Linked DNA regions of Canis lupus familiaris. Each later gene encodes a partner of the first gene's protein in a complex. Links are inferred from orthologs where the notes say so. Each region holds a gene or a part of one and is shown on either strand. Other genes may lie near its edges. The genes, in order: SLC9A1 and CHP2.

Region 1 (3,800 bases):
AGGCTTCCTCCAGGCAGAGCAGGTGCAGAAGCCAGGAGGGGCTGGGGACAGCATGACACTCTTCTTGCCCTTCCCTGGCAGGTGTGCTGGGCCTGACCTGGTTCATCAACAAGTTCCGAATTGTGAAGCTGACCCCCAAGGACCAGTTCATCATCGCTTACGGGGGTCTTCGAGGGGCCATAGCCTTCTCCCTGGGCTACCTCCTGGACAAGAAGCACTTCCCCATGTGTGACCTGTTCCTCACTGCCATCATCACTGTCATCTTCTTCACCGTCTTTGTGCAGGTGCTGGCCAGGGCGGAGCGGCCCTGCCTGGGGACCCTGACTCTGCAGGTGGAAAGAGGAGGCGCACAACCTGAGACAGAGCCATGGGCTCTGGTCCACCGATAACTTGCTACACAATCTTGGGCAAGCCGCTCCTCCTTTCTGGGCCTCAGTTTCCTTAATTGTGAAGGGGGAATTGTGATAATGAGCGACCAGTCAGAATGCTGCCTAACATTCAATCCAGACAGTGTTGAGAGAAGGTGCAGTCAGCAGGCTTGTGGTGCTCATTATAGGGCTTTAGGGAAATGACCTAATGTCTTAGGATCTCCATTTCTGTGCCTATAAAATGGGAATAATAGCACAACACGGGGAGCTATAAAGATTGCTGAACTGGGCAACAGGAGGTCTGGAGTCAGCCCAAGCTCTGCTGCTCTCCTGTGACCCTGGGAAAGACCCTCCTGTTTCTGGGTCTTGGTTCCCCATCTATGAAGTGAGGGCAGATGATCCCAGAGTCCCTCCAGCCTGCTGGCCAGTGATTTCTGTGCATTTAATGACCCTGGCTTAGCTGAGAGTTCCCCCAGCCCCTTCAGAATTCCCAGAAAAACCCAGCCTGGATGGTGTAAATTGCTCCACCGTACCTGACCTCTGACTTTGGGCAAGTGAGAAACAGTCTGTCCGGGCCTCCATTTCTCTGTCCCTTCTGTCTTTCCTAGACATAAATCTTGGCAAAGCTTTCATGGGAAACAGCATTGCCTTCTCAGGAGAAAACCATGTGGAGACATCTTCCTGGGGCCAGACTCACCTTCTGTCCCTTACAAGGATAGGGCTCTTTTGCCCTCTTGCCCTGTTTCCATCGTCAAAAACATTTTATCACCTTGACTTTGCAGTTGTGTACGCTAATGGCTAGCCAGGCCCATTTTCGATGAAGTCAGCATTGAGGGAGGGGTGCCCCTGCCTGGGTTTGAATCCAGCTTTACCACTACTTCTGTAAGACCTCAGGAAATTACTTAACCTCTCACTTGTAAGATGGGGACAATGGAAGAACCTACCTCTCAGGGTCAGTGTGGGTATTCAAGAGCTAGTACCTAGTAAATCACAACTAATTCTGGCACGTGGTATTCGTGCAATTAAATTAGCTTGCTGCGGCCGTTACCAGCTGGTCAATTGCAGTCCTGTGAGGGAGGTAGAACAGAAGTGGTTTTCCCTATCAGCCAGATCTAACTTCTCTGGGTTACAAAGCGCATTTGAGGTTGAGTCCACATTTGAACCCAGGCCTTCTGACCCCCTCACCCGGACTGGATGGCTGATGTGTGAGTCATTCAGCTGGGTGGGCTATGTCTTCAGGAAGAAGTGGGCCTTAAGGACCTGCCTTTGTACAAGGGCTGACATGAAGGTTGGGGGAGTGGGGACCTCAGAGCAGAAAGCATCCCAGCTTCAGGGGCTCTGGGTGGTGGTGGGGGAGAGAGGCACTGTGGCCTCCCTGCCAGGGTCACTGACCTGGAGTGCCTGACGCCCACCTGTCCTCCAGGGCATGACCATTCGGCCCCTGGTAGACCTGTTGGCTGTGAAGAAAAAGCAAGAAACGAAGCGCTCTATCAACGAGGAGATCCACACACAGGTACTGGACACTGGGCCTTGGCTGCTGGTTGCAGGAGAAGGCTCAGGGAGCTGGGCAGCAGCTAGGCCTCATGTCCGTTGCTTCACTTGGCCCCTCCACCCTTATCCCAGTGCTGGGTGATCCTTCAGCCCCTTGAGGTCACCAGATCGTGCCATAGGCACATGTAGTGTGGGCAACCAGGAGCCCACTCTAGGAGGGGGTGTCATGCCATTTCTACCTCTAGTAGGAACCTAACCCAGGCATTGGGCACAAGTGGATTCAGGGAAGGGGGCTCAGCCAGGCTCCCTGTCGGGGTTTGAGGTGCTACAGGTTCAGAATGAGTGAGATGTTGGTGCCACCTGCTGGCTGCTCCTGGAACTACAAGGCTGGGCTGAGCAGAGCTGCACCAGGGTGGAAGGTGGGGGGTGAGGGGGGCCTGTCAGAAATCTTGGTAGGGAAGGAACCTTCCCAGTAGTGAGGCTTGACCTGGCCCTGGGCCCATTTCAGTTCCTGGACCACCTTCTGACAGGCATCGAGGACATCTGTGGCCATTACGGCCACCACCACTGGAAGGACAAGTAGGTGGCAGGCCTGGTGGGCTGGTGGGTGGGGAGGGGCAGGTGAGGGTCTCCCTGGGCCTGGGTGTCTCCCCACCCTGAGGAGCTGCCTACACGCATCTTCTCCCTCCTCCCACCAGGCTCAACCGGTTTAACAAGAAATATGTGAAGAAGTGTCTGATAGCAGGGGAGCGCTCCAAGGAACCCCAGCTCATCGCCTTCTACCACAAGATGGAGATGAAGCAGGCAATTGAGCTGGTGGAGAGCGGTGGCATGGGCAAGATCCCTTCTGCTGTCTCCACTGTCTCCATGCAGTGAGTGCTGATGGCCAACGCTGGCAGCTTCCGTACCCCCACACCGACCCAGTCCACACCAACCTGGCAGGCCACCAGTGGGCCGGGGGGCGGGGCAGTGGCAGGCCCCTCTGTTGTCCCAGCAAGGTGGCTGAGAGAGCTGCAGGGCCACAGATGACCACCCACGCATGCCATCCCTGGGATGACTTCCTGGCCTAGGACAGCAGGCTCCAGGGTCACAGGAGTTTTCTGGGGGACCTAACCTGTGGCCTGTTTTGCAGGAACATCCACCCCAAGTCTCTGCCTGCTGAGCGCATCCTGCCGGCACTGTCCAAGGACAAGGAGGAGGAGATCCGCAAAATCCTGAGGAACAACTTACAGAAGACGAGGCAGCGGGTGAGGGGCAGCTCCCTGCCGGGTGCCCTACAGCAGAGGAGCCCCTCTGCTCCAGCCCTGCCCCACACAGGTGCAGAGCCTCCCTGGCCCCGTCAGGCCCAGCTTCCGGGGGCTGACAGCTGTTCCTCCCACAGCTGCGATCCTACAACAGACACACACTGGTGGCAGATCCCTACGAGGAGGCCTGGAACCAGATGCTGCTCCGCAGACAGAAGGCCCGGCAGCTAGAGCAGAAGGTGTGTCTGGGACTGGAGCTGGCTCCTGCCTTTCCCTGGGAGTCTGGGTTCTTCTTCTTCCTATACCCTACCATCAAGTCCCTTTGCAGAGAGAGCCACTGCAGTTTCTTTCGACTCCTCTACTTGTTTTGAAGACTGAGCTCCGGGGCAGGTTCCAGAAGCTGCCTCCTCCTCCACCTCCTCCCCACTCAGGGCAGCAAAGAGGCCAGTGCCTATTTGCTGCATCCTTAGGCATCTGAGTCTATCCGTGTGCTTAACCTCTTATTTTCTGGTAAAAACAAAACAAAACAAAACACTAAGGCCAAGGAAGAAGGGAGCTTCCCCAAATAACAATGCAAGGAAGGCTTACATGCATTCATGTTCGTTTGCTCAGGAACATTTTTTTGAGTGGTACCTAAATGCTGAGCAGCAGAGTAGCCTCTGTGGATCCAGCAGTGAATCAACCCAGTCCCTCCCTT
Region 2 (4,583 bases), on another chromosome or scaffold:
ACACAGTCGATTGAGAAATTAATAACTGAGTCCTTTGAATTTAACTGTGCCTGAAGACACTTCCAGGCTTTTCCTATATTCTGAAGATACTTTCAAACTTTTTAATTACATGAGCCCATAAAAATCCCCTTTTCACTTAAGTCACTGTAAATTGGGTTTTCAGTTGCTTGCAACCAGAAGATTGCTGGCTGATTTATGAATCTGAGATCAAATAAGCTACACTTTATTTAGTACACACCCTTCCAGCTTTCTCTCCTTGGCCCTAAATAGAGTTTAGCATAGACACATGAATACAGTTTTGCGGGCCCTGCCTCTGTAGGGGCTGAAGATAAATTCCACGCTGAGCTGGTCTGTGTAAGCTAGCCAACGGCACAAAGAGGGTCACTTCAGGATCCGGATGCTCATTTTCTGCTCGATGTCCATCTTCTCTAATGACTGGCAGGGGCAGATGGGTGGTAGTCAAGAGCTCAATCCTCTAGGCTTCCCACCTCCTCTCCTATCCCCAAAGCCCCACCTTTCCTTAGCGATCCCCATCCCTCTGCCCAAATTCCTTTCCCATGTCCATCTGTCCTAGGGACTCCTGAAGTCAACTCCCCAGGCCTCAGGGCATTCTGACCTTGGTGAACTCCAGGAAGGACACAGCCCCGTCCCCATCTTCATCCGCTTCCTGTACCGTGCGGTCGGCGATGCTCTCCAACTGCTCTTCTGTCACCTGCACCCCAACCATCAGCCGGAGGACCTGGGAGGCATACAGGGGACAGCCATAAAGAGGAGACACTCGCCCCATCCCCCAAACCTTGCCCACATCATCCTAAATGTTATTACCCCTTTTGTAATCTATCTCTCAACCATTTTTTTTCACTTCCCACCATATCCCAATAATTTCCCCTACTGCTTCTCCATTCAAACCCCCACCTGTCTCTCTATCTCACGTTCACCTCAACAGTATGCCCAAACTCATTACCCAAACCTAAGTCTTACAACTCAACCTCCCTCCATTCTCCACCCCATCCCCCTCCTCATCCTTCCACTATTCCCAATTCCACCACCACCACCACCCCCACTTCATCAAATCTATCACAGAGTTTCTGAATCTCAATACTGTTGACATTTGGGGCCTTGTTGTGGGAGAATGGGGGCTATCGTGTGTATCGAAAGATGTTTAGCAGCGTTTTTGACTTCTACCTACTAGATGCCAGCAGTGCTGCCCACTCCACTCCCTCAGTTGTGGCAACCAAAAATGTCTCTAGATATTGCCAACTCATTCAGGAGGTAAAATCACCTCCAGTTAAGAACCACTGGTCTAGGGATCCCTGGGTTGCTCAGTGGTTTAGCGCCTGCCTGCGGCCCAGGGCATGATCCTGAGTCCCAGTATCAAATCCCATATCGGACTCCTTGCATGGAGCCTGCTTCTCCCTCTGCCTGTGTCTCTGCTTCTCTCCCTCTCTCTGTGTCTCTCATGAATAAATAAATAAAAATCTTAAAAAAAAAAAAAAAGAACCACCAGTCTATTTCCAACCTCATAACCAACTGTTCCCCATCCATTTCCCAACTAAACCCCACCCAATGCTGGATTCCCACTTAATACCCCAGTGACCTGGGCAGCCCCGGTGGCTTAGCAGTTTGGTGCCACCTTCAGCCCAGGGTGTGATCCTGGAGACCCTGGATCAAACCCCACATCAGGCTCCCTGCATGGAGCCTGCTTCTCCCTCTGCCTGTGTCTGTGTGTGTGTGTGTGTGTGTGTCTAATAAATAAATAAATAATCTTAAAAAAAAATGCCCCAGTGACCTGCACCTCCATTGCCCAGTCACCCACCCCATCCCCCCGCAACCCTTCCCTTCAACAACCCATTTGTCAGATATCACATCTCTTGTTCTTGCATCCTTCCAACCTGTAGCATCTCGTGCCTGGAGATCTTTCCATCTCTATCCAGGTCATAGAGCTGAAATGCAACTGGAAGAGAATAGAGAGGGAGGGGAGGAGGAGGGAAAGCTGAGTGTTCCCTCGTTCTTTTCCAGCAGGTCACCCTGCTGGAGGCTTGGGGGAGGTCATCTACAGGCTCGCTAAGAGGTGCGGTGCATCGCTTGGGGAGGGGTCCCCACGAACTCACAGCGAAGTTTGTTCATTCGGCTGTTGAGGGGTTCAGGTTCCTTGGGGTCTCGCATGCTCGAGTCGTCATCATCGACAGGTCGAAAGTGAGCCAGGACTCTGACAAAGCCTGGGAAATCCACTCGCAGATTCCTGGGGACAATGGAGTGGAGGTGACCTTGGCCCTCCGCCTGCCTCTCCCCTTAACTCTCCCCCAAGCCCTCCCCCACCACACCCCCAGCGGGACCTCACCCGTCGGGGAAGAAGCTGTCTATGATGCGATCTCCCAGGGGGTTCACGGCCAGCGCCCCGATCTGCTGCAGATCCATGCGGCTGTCAAGTCAAAGTTCAGAGGGACGGAGGGTTAAGGAGGGGACCGGGTCCAGAGGGGCAGGTGGCAGGTCCTGGGGCCGGGTCCCTCACCTCAGGTAGCCCTTCTTGTTCCTGTCCAGTGCCCGAAACCGGTGGTAGAGGCGGAGCAGACTGGCCTGCGAGACTGCGGGACCGGAGGCGGAGGGTGACACGGCCGCGGGCGCTCCCCACTACCCGCTTCCCCGGGGTCCCTCCCCGGGACCTCCCCACCCCCCGGGCGGGACCTCCCCCGCCCCCCAGCCCCCCGGGACCCGGGCCGCGCGGCCGGGCTGCGGGGGGCGTGTCGACGCGCTCCCGCGGGGCCCGAGGCCCGGAGGCCCCCCCGTGCCCCCGCCCCCGTCCGCGGCCCCGCGGGGAGCCCCTCCCGACGCCCCCCGCCCCGGCTCCGAGCCCCGCGGCCGCTCACAGCCGGTCTCCCGGCGGATGCTGTCCGCGTCGGGAATGCGCGCCGCGTGGGAGCCGCGGGAGCCCATGGCTGCGCCTGCTGAGCCGCCCGGCCCCGGCCCCGGCCCCGGCCCCGGCCCCGCCCCGCCCCGCCCCCGCCCCCCGCGCCCGGGCGCGGCCGCCCGCTGGCCCCGGGGCCGAAGGCCGCAGGCCTGGCGCGGAGCCAGGCTCGGGAACCCCTGCGTGCCTCGCCTCCCACCCGCGACCCGGGCGGACGGAGAACAATGCCCAGCGTGGCGGGGTCAGAGGGGCGGCGCGGACAACGGGGCGTTTCATGCGGAGCCGAGCCGAGCCGAGCCGGAGCCCGCCGCGAGGTCGCCCGCCCGCCCGCCCCCCCGCCCCCCGGCCGCGCCATCTCACCCTCGGGACTCCCAGCCGCGTCCCCGCTCGCGGCTCCCGGGCAGGACGGCCGGGCCCGCCGACCTTGTCACCCAGGGACACAATCCACGTCCCCCGCGCAGGGGCCCCGGGGGGCGGGGCGGGGAGCTGGATGGACCCACTTGTCCCCAGCCCCCGGGGGCCCAGCCTGGGGCCCCTTCCTCAGGCTGCAGGAGCAGAAGAAGAGGCATTGAAGGACCCCCCAGGAAGGGTGGGGCGGGGAGGGTCGTGAGCCGTACAGGGGAGCTGGGGTGACCCGAAGGGCCCCTGGATTTGGAAGGATGTGGATGCAACCCCCAGCTACGCAGTTAACCCTGGACAAGTCTGTAGGACTTGCCTTCATCTCTTTTGTTCCTTCCACATAGCCTGATTGTTGATGGCCAATTGAGCCGGTGCTAAAATGCAGGAGATTAACGAGAAATCCAGTTGCCAGCTTCCGAGAAATCAAAAGTTCAGACGCCACCAGTTCCTGCCTGGCACACGGAGCTACACCCGGGGAACACGTGCCGTGTGTAAATGCGGCATCGCGGCCTGTCCCCTGGCCACAGTCTCCACCCAGCTCAGTTCCCTTCCTTCTGTGCCCCGTGGGACCTCCGGTAGAAGCTCAAGTTGGAATGCCTTGAGCCTCAGGCCAGCCCTCAAGCACCACAGGAACCCCCAGTCTGAGAGGGGGTTACAAACATCACTGTGACCAAGCTTAATATGGTGATAGTGGCAACAACAGGGCCTCTCATTTCCCGCTCACCATGCACCAACCACTTCTGTGAAACACAATGTGCATGATTAACTCACACTCCTCAAACCACCTGCTAGACTGCCTGCTTTTTTAAGTGGTGGAGGCTGCCAGGGGAGCCTGTTGTGAACTATTGAAAAGCACGTATCCAGGCAGCCCGGGTGGCTCAGCGGCTTAACACCACCTTCAGTCCAGGGCCTGATCCTGGAGTCCCGGGATCGAGTCCCACATCAGGCTCCCTGCATGGAGCCTGCTTCTCCCTCTGCATGTGTCTCTGCCTCTGTCTCTCTCTGTGTTTCTCATGAATAAATAAATAAAATACAAATAAAAAAAAAAAAGCACGTATCCCCAGTGGGGGACATATCTCCCCAAGAGGGGCCACAACTCATATTCTTTTTGTGTATAAAACACAGATACACATATAGTGCATAAATAGCATATAGCATATCTGGGGTATTAAAATTTCATAGTATTAAAATATCATGATTAGGAAAAATAGTGTAAAAACACTCCTTAAGGGCAGGCTGTAATGAAAAAAGTGTTAAGAAACTCAGTTGCAAAGGAACA

What was found.
Region 2: the proteins of SLC9A1 (region 1) and CHP2 are in contact, whole or in part, in a crystal structure (PDB 2BEC), measured with the Homo sapiens proteins. The link is inferred for Canis lupus familiaris from reciprocal best matches to the Homo sapiens genes SLC9A1 and CHP2. Residues at the interface, in NP_003038.2 of Homo sapiens: Ser517, Ile518, Asn519, Glu520, Ile522, His523, Thr524, Gln525, Phe526, Leu527, Asp528, His529, Leu530, Leu531, Thr532, Gly533, Ile534, Glu535, Asp536, Ile537, Cys538, Gly539, His540; in NP_071380.1 of Homo sapiens: Arg30, Arg34, Leu38, Leu51, Ile54, Ala56, Leu57, Asn60, Pro61, Leu62, Ile66, Phe70, Phe83, Leu87, Phe90, Tyr118, Ala119, Leu122, Tyr123, Met136, Val139, Leu140, Met143, Ile156, Arg159, Thr160, Glu163, Ala164, Phe177, Ser180.

Annotation. Positions count from the first base shown.
Region 1 is NC_049223.1:72,491,464-72,495,263, forward strand, and holds part of SLC9A1 (sodium/hydrogen exchanger 1), read left to right. Parts: intron 1-81; coding exon 82-284; intron 285-1,791; coding exon 1,792-1,881; intron 1,882-2,367; coding exon 2,368-2,438; intron 2,439-2,557; coding exon 2,558-2,731; intron 2,732-2,991; coding exon 2,992-3,106; intron 3,107-3,240; coding exon 3,241-3,342; intron 3,343-3,800. UniProt on the Homo sapiens protein: Electroneutral Na(+) /H(+) antiporter that extrudes Na(+) in exchange for external protons driven by the inward sodium ion chemical gradient, protecting cells from acidification that occurs from metabolism.
Region 2 is NC_049227.1:22,370,955-22,375,537, forward strand, and holds the start of CHP2 (calcineurin B homologous protein 2), read right to left. Parts: upstream 2,975-4,583; 5' UTR 2,935-2,974; coding exon 2,868-2,934; intron 2,586-2,867; coding exon 2,513-2,585; intron 2,423-2,512; coding exon 2,342-2,422; intron 2,243-2,341; coding exon 2,112-2,242; intron 1,955-2,111; coding exon 1,893-1,954; intron 740-1,892; coding exon 617-739; intron 436-616; coding exon 382-435; 3' UTR 1-381. UniProt on the Homo sapiens protein: Functions as an integral cofactor in cell pH regulation by controlling plasma membrane-type Na(+)/H(+) exchange activity.